Linked DNA regions of Neurospora crassa OR74A. The protein of the gene in region 2 interacts with the protein of the main gene of each other region in a biochemical or structural test. Links are inferred from orthologs where the notes say so. Each region holds a gene or a part of one and is shown on either strand. Other genes may lie near its edges.

Evidence for each region.
Region 1: the proteins of NCU04790 (region 2) and NCU09161 form a complex in vitro, tested with the Schizosaccharomyces pombe proteins (2 studies listed by BioGRID). The link is inferred for Neurospora crassa OR74A from reciprocal best matches to the Schizosaccharomyces pombe genes sup35 and dom34.

The regions. Positions count from the first base shown.
Region 1 is NC_026503.1:207,746-211,962, reverse strand, and holds NCU09161 (translation factor pelota), read right to left. Parts: upstream 2,517-4,217; 5' UTR 2,207-2,516; coding exon 983-2,206; 3' UTR 920-982; downstream 1-919. UniProt on the Schizosaccharomyces pombe protein: Component of the Dom34-Hbs1 complex, a complex that recognizes stalled ribosomes and triggers the No-Go Decay (NGD) pathway.
Region 2 is NC_026506.1:821,705-826,819, reverse strand, and holds the start of NCU04790 (eukaryotic peptide chain release factor GTP-binding subunit), read right to left. Parts: upstream 2,977-5,115; 5' UTR 2,864-2,976; intron 2,783-2,863; 5' UTR 2,554-2,782; coding exon 2,223-2,553; intron 2,162-2,222; coding exon 357-2,161; intron 302-356; coding exon 245-301; 3' UTR 1-244. Other genes in the region: NCU04789 (RanGTP-binding protein), read left to right, coding at 3,518-3,697, 3,793-3,827, 3,907-5,115. UniProt on the Schizosaccharomyces pombe protein: GTPase component of the eRF1-eRF3-GTP ternary complex, a ternary complex that mediates translation termination in response to the termination codons.

The DNA of each region.
Region 1 (4,217 bases), on a different chromosome or scaffold from region 2:
GGGCCCGCAGCTGTGTCCGTCAGGGTTCCCGTCAACCAAGATCAAGATGATGTCGTGCCAAGACTGTCGGACAGTCGGATTTGTCGACATGCCGTGGCCCCGACTTGGCTCCACTGGTTGGATTTGGAGATCCGATTTCTTGCGATTCGCGATGAATTGATTATTCGACATGGACACTGTTGAAGGTGTATCATAAACCCATATAACAATCCGTACGACAATCGTGACTAGAGAATACAGACACAAATACAAACTAATGTACTATAGTAAGTTATTGCTACTGTGCCTGGACTAAGGTAAAAGGGAGGGGAATGGGAAGTAGAAAGGGAAGTGGAAAGATGCGAAAGTTGTACAACGGCAGCGAGGCACGAAAGGTACCATGAAGCACAAAGTCGGATCTTCCGGGTAGATGGGCGTCACCTGATTGAGGGATGTGCCGGGTAGATGGAGGATGGACTTTGTGCCTTTTCCGAGATCATGCTTGCTTCCTTTTAGAGATGGACAACAAAGGTTGGACCAAAGTTCATGTCTGGAACTGGCCCAATTTGTTACTAACAACTAAGTCTTCACATCCACACACCGATCTGGACTACTATCCACCATCATGAAACATATATAATAGAGCTTGGTCGACATAAACATCAACGCGAGATTACACAAACCTTCAATCGCGGATACATCTACCCACCCATGAAGCTTTGGATTGAGCAATGCGCTCCAATCAAACCTCGTGGAATCGGATCGCTTATTTGCCCCACCTTGTTTCCAGAGCACATGCCAATTCCCGTCCTGTTTGGAAATGACGTCGGTCGTTTTGGTAATAATCGGAGGTCCAGGCCGAGAAGCGGAGAGTCGCAGCAAAACACCAAAGCTGTGCATCACCATGTCAGAGATATACAGCATAACAATCAGAAGATAGGTTTGAAGTGAGTTTTCAAAAGACTGGGCTTGAATTTTCCGCTGTAAACAAGGATAACATCCATCATATAATCATGGCTCCCTCCTCCGCCGCCGCCCCTGACTCTTCCCCTTCACCACCCTCCTCCACCTCATCCTCATCCAAGTCATAAATTGGATACGTGAGGATCGCAGCAATACCGCCCAGCGCATCCAGCCGCTGCCCACTCTCGTGATCACTGCTCAACACTCTTGCCTCGCCTCCATCCTCCTTGACCTTGTCCACCAACGCCACAAACCTCTTCCTCGTCTTGATGTCCAGACTCCTGAAAAACTTGTTATTGATCAACAACACACCCCCTCCTCTCCCCACCGCACCCTCTTTCACCGCCCGCTCCACCGGCTTCGCACCATACCACGCCCTCCCATCATCCTTCCTCAGTCGATCGTACAACTGGTCCATCAACGCCGTCTCGCCCGTGAACCGCTTATCCCTCATTGTCGCCTGCACCTCCGGGCTCTTCAGCACCTCATTCAAGCTATGCACATACCCCGTACTGCTGTGCACAACCACCGCATCCTTCGCCATCCTCTGCAACTTTTTGTCTGTCCTCTTCTGTCCTTCGCTCTGCATATACCCCCTAAAATCCTGCGCCACAAACCCGGGACTCGCCAACAACAACGGCCGCGGCTGCGAGAAATCCACAGTGCGAAGCAGCGTCGCCAGCGTCTTTTCGTAAAAGCTCGTCATGCCGCCCTGGCTCGCCGACCCGCCCGCCCGCTTCTTGGGGATGTTGGCTTCCACCCGCTGCTTGACGACCGTCTGGAACTCGGTAATCAGACAGATATTCGCCAGCCCTTCCTGCATCACCACCGCGCACATGGCCTCGCCCGTGTCCTCCGCCACCGCCTCCTCCAGCATTTTGAGGGAAACCGAGTCCCACCCGCTGTGCTTCCATAGCTGAAAGGGCCGGTTGAGTTCCAGGTCCAAAGTGTGGTGCTGGCCTAAGCTGACGTATTGGTTCTCTTGGCAGACGGTGCCGGACACGTGGAGAGACGAGGCGGCTGGGTCGAAGAAGACGGATTGTACGCGGATAGTGAGGTCGGTGTGTACGCGGTCCGACGTCGTAGAGCCCGTCGAGCCCGTGGTGACGACTTTGCGGATGGCGTGCGCGCGCAAGAGGTCCGAGGGCGCGATCAGGTTGTGTGCGTGCCACATGTCTTCGGGCGTCGTGGGGAGGAGGGAGACGGGCGATTCGCCAGAGGGGTCGAGCGTCGAGAGGGAGTGTTTGGGGTTAGTGAAGCGCATCCTGGGCGGGGAAAAGTAGTCAATCGGCGATGTGTATAGTGTTGAGTAGGGTATGGGTAGGTCGAGAGGTAGGTCGACGACGAGGTAGATTGCGCGTTGGATCGGAGACCGCTAATAAAGGGTGTGTAGGTATCCTCCCGTAGTTAACTCGAGTACTTCTATCGGTGCTCGTCGTTTTGGTATTGTAGTTTCTCGCAATGTTGCGATTCGCAGTCGTGGTGGTGGTGCTGGTGGTGGTGGAATTGGTCAAGGTCAGTCGATTTGGAACTGAAAGATGACGAAGTGGAAAAAGCTGCTTGGCTTGGGCAGGGAAGTGCTGTGGGCTGAGTGTGGGGTACCCGACCTAATTGAGCACCACTGCTTTTTAGCGGGGTAATCCTGTGTTACAGTCCTGCTGGGCTCATCCAAGACAAAATAAATGAGACCAACCAGCAGGTTAGGTAGGTAGGTAAATCAGTCTACTACCGCTCGTCAAAAATAAAAAGAAGGCCGTTGCCAAACTATAAAAGGGATTATACCAGTTCGAAAAGAAATTGGCTCAAGTCCCATTTGGATATTTTTGTTAAGGGATTGCCTAGAACTCAAGACTAGAGGTGTTACAAAGACGCTTGGATGCGTAGTAGGTACCCAAGGTATAATATTACAGGTCCCAATGATTTTGTCCAGGACGAGCTAGGCATCTTGAAATGCCAGCAATGCTCTCGTGCCTAAAACTATCTTTATATCTGAGAATACAGAAAAGGAAGTTTGTGTTTTCAGCTATCATAAGAGTTAAGTGACCAGAAGCCTGTAGGTGGTGAAACATCAACTCCTCTGTTTACGGACATTAACTTGTTGGCTCGCAATCCGATCTTGTCGGAACCCGTTGTTAGCACTTTTGCTAGTAAATGCCCTACTAAACTGATAGCTTCTCAAGTTCCACCCCCTACAGCGACCAATGTTAACGTTTCCTACAGAGTTACCCCAGGACACTAACAAGGATACAACCAATGTATGTAGTTGTTCCTCGGCGGGCACTCTGTTTTCTTCCCTCTCACAAACTTGTCCTCAACTTCCCTCTTTCTTCTCCGCTTCCACCCAACGCAGCTCGACCCCACTCCGCTCTCACCAAGTTCATCATCCAGAACCCAGACCGGCCAAACGAGGCTAGACCTGAACAGATGACATGGTAGGGCCGTTCTTGGCCGTGACGGCTGGTAGAACTGGACTATCCATACATTATTCGATTTGTGTGACGACCATTCCCATGCAGCATCCGCCACATGTGATTCCACAACATCAACAGCTCAGATTTGACGCCTTCATGGCCCTGGCCCTCTCGTCACTTTCCGCTATCCGAACCCCAATTTTATCCTCAGCAAGTAGTCCATGTCGTTTCTCTTGCCCGTAGCATGTCTCGGCGTTGACGTCGACAATTACCCCATGCTCGCCTGCGCGCGCTCTTCCCTTCTCCCTCAGCGCTTCACAACTTACCCTATCTCAACCTTCCCTACGTACCATTACTGAGGAGTTCTCCAGGTATCACACTCGCGCTAAGGCTCCAGAAAGGGCATATTTACAGAAGTGCTGTTTGGGAGCTAGGGGGGGCTATGCCAGATACATGGTCTTTATCAGTTCCCAACTTCATCAAGATGGGTGCTAATGAACAGCGTGTTTCATCCTGTGGGCTTACGAACGACAGGACTAAAAGGATCGGAACCGAAATCCACGCCACATATTTCACACTACAAACTCTCGTAAATAAATGAAAAAAGGCCACCAGACTCGAACGGCGCGCCAGCCGGACGGGACATGAGAAGCTCCGCGGAGATAGCTGCGCAGGACCGAACCGGGTGGTGGCCGGTAACACGGACCACTCGGACAACGAAGGCGGCCGCTAAGCCTGTTTCGGAGTTTCTGTTAGCAAATCTGATGCCCGGGAGAGGGACTGGGAATGAAGCGACACTCACCTGTTTGCTCAGGTGAAAGGGAGCGAGAACAGATCGATTCAAGCCGCAGCGCTGTCTCGCGG
Region 2 (5,115 bases):
GACACGTAGACCAAGCCATCCGGACTTCCCAAACGCAACAAAGCTTTCTCATTCCAACTGGTATTTTGCTCTATATCCCCAATGCTTCGTTTCGAAAAACGTAAACAGAACCCTTGCTAAGGCTTTCCCCGCGCTCAAGCAAATAACCAATGCAAAGCCTACTTGATCCCTTTTACATTTTTGACTCGAGCGGTGCAGTTTTTTTGCTCAAATTCGCCGAGAACACCAACCTTCTTTTGGCCATTTAAGCAGAGGTATCGGTAATGAGCTTGGTGATCTTGCCAATAGCGATGGTTTGACCCTACAAAATGTGTTAGTCCAATTTCACGTCAAGCAACAGACAAGAAATAACATACCTGGTCACGGAGGGTGAAACGACCCATCTGGGGGTAGTCCTCGAACCGTTCAACGCAGACGGAGCCGGCACCACCGGTAACCTCGAGACGAGCAATGATGCTGTCGCCCTTCTTGGCGTGCGAAGGAGGAAGCTTGGACTTCCTGTTGGTGCCCTTCTGAAGCTTGTGGAGGAGAGCGGCGAAAGTAACCTCCTCGATGGCGGCGTGAACATGAAGCACGCAGTTGAAACCGGCAGTCAGAATGCTCTTGAGGTCAAGAATACGGATCTGAGCCTCGAAAGCGGTGACGTTGTGGACAAGACGCTTGGGCGAGCAAAGGACGAAACCGGGCATGATTTCTTCTTCTTCGATGCCACGGAGACGGAGACGGACTTGCTCACCGCACTGGGCAACGGGAACCTCATCTTCCGTCTCGCCGTAGACGGCCGAGATTTCAATCGACTGCTTGTTAGGCATCATGATCAAGCTCATACCCTTCTTGATCACACCGGCCTCGATCTTACCCTCGATCATGGTACCCATATCACGGTACTTGCCAGAAACAGCCATCATAAAGGGGGCGTTGACCTTGCGCTCGAGAGAGCTCATGTTGTCGAGGTACTCAAGCAGCGAGGGGCCATCATACCAGGGGCAAAGATCCTTGGGCACGCGGTCCTTGATACCCATGGTCTGCTGGGCAGCGACGGGCATGAAGAAGACATCCGTCTTCAGGTTGTAACCAGTACCCTTCAAGAACTGGGCAAGCTTGGTGGTGCACTCCTTGTAGCGCTCCTCGGACCAGTTGACGGTAGGGTCGTCCATCTTGTTGATGACAACGACGAGCTTGTTGACACCCTGGGTCTTGGCCAACATGGCGTGCTCACGGGTCTGACCGCCCTTCTCGAAACCGGTCTCGTACTCACCCTTACGGGCGGAGATGACGAGGATACCGACATCGGCCTGGGAAGCACCACCAATCATGTTGGGGACATAGGTCTTGTGGCCGGGGGCATCGAGAATGGAGTACTTGCGCTTGTCGGTCTCGAAGAAACCACGACCAACCTCGACGGTCTTGCCCTTGGCACGCTCCTCGTTGGTCAAGTCAAGAGCCCACGAGAGGTACCAAGTCTCACGACCCATATCCTTAGCCTCCCTCTTGTACTTGTCAAGTGTACGCTGGTCGACCATGCCGGTGACGTAGAGAATGGCACCACCGAGGGTAGACTTGCCGGCATCGACGTGACCGATGAAGATGATGTTCATGTGCTCCTTGCCGTAGATTTCCTTGAGGGTATCCTCGTCAACATCGGCGGACTGAATATCCTTCTCAACAGCATCGACGTCGCGCGAAACCTTGTTGCCGGACTTGGCGGCCGACGGGCTGGCACGGCCCGAAGAGGGAGCGGGCGAAGTCCTGCCGCTAGCAGCAGCAGACTCGGTCTTTTGCACAGCCTTGGTAGCAGTAACCTTGGCGGCGGCCTCAGCGGTACCCTCCTTCTTGGCAGCCTCCTTCTTGGGCTCCTCCTTGGCGGGAGCAGTGCCGGAGATGGAGAGAACCTTGGCCGCGGGCTTGGGCGCATCACCCCCGATGCTCAAAACCTTGGCAGGAGCATCGCCTCCAACGCTGAGAACCTTGACGGGAGCGGCAGCGGTCTTGGGGGCGTCGGCCTTTGGTTGCGCCTGGGCAGCGGGCTGCTCTGGCCTCTTGACGATCTGAGGGGCAGGCTTGGGCGCATCGCGGTTCTGCTGTTGCCTCTGCTGGTAGCCCTGGTTCTGCTGGTAACCACCGTATTGTTGTTGTTGTTGTTGTTGTTGTTGTTGGCCTGCTATCCACGTCTATCAGTTAGATTCCTCGATCAAAGACTGTACGAACAAGCGGCGGCCTACCGTAGCCCTGGTTATATCCCTGCTGGCCGTAAACAGCGCCATAGCCCTGCTGCTGCTGGTTGTTGTACTGTCCGTAGCCCTGCTGGCCGTACTGGGGGTAGCCACCGCCGTAGCCCTGCTGGGCGCCGCCGTAATATTGCTGCTGGTACTGGGGAGTGAAGCCGGGAGCGGCGAACTGGCCGGGGGTGAAGGAGGGGGCGCCGGGGGTGAAGGCAGCGGCACCGGGGCGGAAGGTACCAGCGTTGATGTTCATCTGTTGCTGGGTCTGGCGCGCCAGGCGCTCATCCTGGTCGGCAGCCTCCTCCCAGTTGTTCTGAACGTTTCCGGACATGTTGGATAGATAGCGGTCGCGTGTGATTCTCGAGAAGGTGCCGGTAGAAATGTGTCTGGTTTCGGGGTCTCGCTCGTGGGCTGGAGAGTGGTGATAATAAAGCTGATGGTCAGCAAAGATGAATCCCGACTCTGTCGGCTGGGTAGCGACGTGGGTGTGTATAAATAAGGTAGGTCCCTTGCGCGAGGAGGGAATCCTGAAGTCAGGAGATGGAGATGGATGATTTATACTAGAAGACAGAAATGATGGTAAGCTAATGCGACCACAGACAGCCCTATATCAACTGCCTCTATACACCGTAGGTACTTACCCTGACGACGACCTGTACTTGGTTGTAGTACTCTGAGTGACCAGTCCAGTCGGCGCGTCCAACTACGTAGCGAGCGAGGGAACAAGTCGAAGAGAGATTTGGATCAAGAAACCTAACGCTGGCAAGGGCTGTAGGGCCCCACCGTTGATTGGGGAGGGCGTGCAGTGAGTGGTGGCGGGGTACATGACAATTTTTTGTCCCGCTGTCTACTGTGTGCGCTAGGACGGAACTGCCGCCACACACTGTGCGACTCGGGGAGTCACTCGCCGAAGAAGTGCGCCCAAAGCCAGCATTCAGTGGAATGGGATCAGCAGGATCACAGTGCGAACCTCTGCAACAGACTAAACCCCTGGTCTCTCTTGGCACATGCACTGTCCCAGGCCGGGCCGTGAACCCAAAAGAGACCCGGACGAAAAGAAGCCTGGACCCGCCAACCAACGTCACTCTTGAGGACCTGAACGTCAAACGGACGGGACGAACACTAACAATTAGGCATCGCTTCGTTCAAGTTCACTTGCTGCCGGAGAGCATTACAGTAAGGTACCTCTACCTACCTGATTCCGTACATAAAACTATCAAATAGGACAGGAACTGAATATGATATACACCGTACCAATCAAATAACCATCCACACATTCTTAACTTGAGCAAATCATGGACGCACTGTTGGCCAAGCTCGGGTCTCATGCGGTCAACTACGCCATCAGATCAGGCATCGCAATCACTTCCACCTACGCCGTCAACCAGTGCTCGAGGCTGCTCAAGACGGTCGACGACAAAGGAGTGTACACCGAGCTCAAGAAGCTGCAGAAGCTTCTGGATAGTAAGATCAAGGTGAGTGGCCATTATTATTCCGAACCCAACAATGCTAAAGCCCCTTCCAACAAAGACATGACACCCCTTGCTAATACGAATATTCCCCACTTCAGATTGTTTCACCAGCTATCGACCTGATCGAGTTCAAGTATGCCCAACCTACCTCTCTTCTTACTACTTACCTTGTCCTTGGCCCTTACAAGAATGTGACTAACGCTGTGTCCAAGATCTGGCCGTGGCAATGTCTTCCTCGAGGCTGCTGTGCCTCTTGCCAAGTCTCTCCATCGAGACATCATTTCTCTCGGGAAGCGCCTAAACGATGCTGCTACTGCCGAAGAGAGCTCCCGCTCCGATGGCAAGAAAGCCCGCATGTCGGAAGCTCATCATATTGAGCTGCTAACCATTATCAAGGAGATGAAGGAACTACTGGCCCGCATAGACAGAGAGATCCCTCTGATCCAACTCGCCATCACGGCCTCGGGAGAGAGGATGAACACGACAGTGAACGCTGGCATCTCTCCGTCGAGACTGATGCAGGCGAGTGCCTTCTTGTCATTCGGGGACTCACACTTTGTGAACAACCCTAACCGAGCAGTCCCCATCGGGCCTTCTTTCACACTATCTCTTTACATGCTCTTCCGCGGCCATTCCAGGCTGAAAAGTGCCAGTTCCGTTCCTGCCACTCCTAGCACTGGAGGCAAGACATGGACCAGGGAGCCATCATATGGTGTTGGCGAAGGTGAACGGAAACCCATCTGGCAAGAGGTGGTGCACAAGGCTCGTGTACGGCTGGTTCGCACACCGCTAGGCTGGAAGTTTGACAAGACTCGCGGATACTGCCCCGGTGAGTCTTCTGATGGACCCGTAAACGCGTACTCTGCTGCCGTTGATTCGGCCCTTTCGATGCTTGGCCGCCCAGACGAGTATGCCTATCACTTGGAGATCATTGAAGATCTCGACGACGGACGTGTACACGATGATGATGCCGCAGGTGAGCCATTCGACGGCATCGATATGGCTGGAATCCGAGACTCCATTCCCATACATCAAGTTTCCAAGATTTTCTACACCGACACAGGGCGACTCCTGAACATCGGTAATGCTGAGGAGGGCGACAACAACCCGGTGTTATTACTGAAGAGAGACCTCCATGCCCCTAATCCGGTCCAGCTCAAACGCCAATGGTACGCCGATCCGGAGCAAGCAGAGGCATCAGAAGGAGAAACAGCATATGACACGGCCGCCGAAGACGACGACGAACAAGCCGATATTGATGCGCAACTGCTGGCAGAGACCAAGTCTACTGAACTTGCGACGGCGGCAGAAGAAGGTCGATTAAGGAAAGCGTTAGGGCTGCCATCGCATCTGGACCCTGAATGGCTCGCCCTGGAGGTCTTTGTCGAGAGCGATGACGAGTCTGACGACGATGATGATGG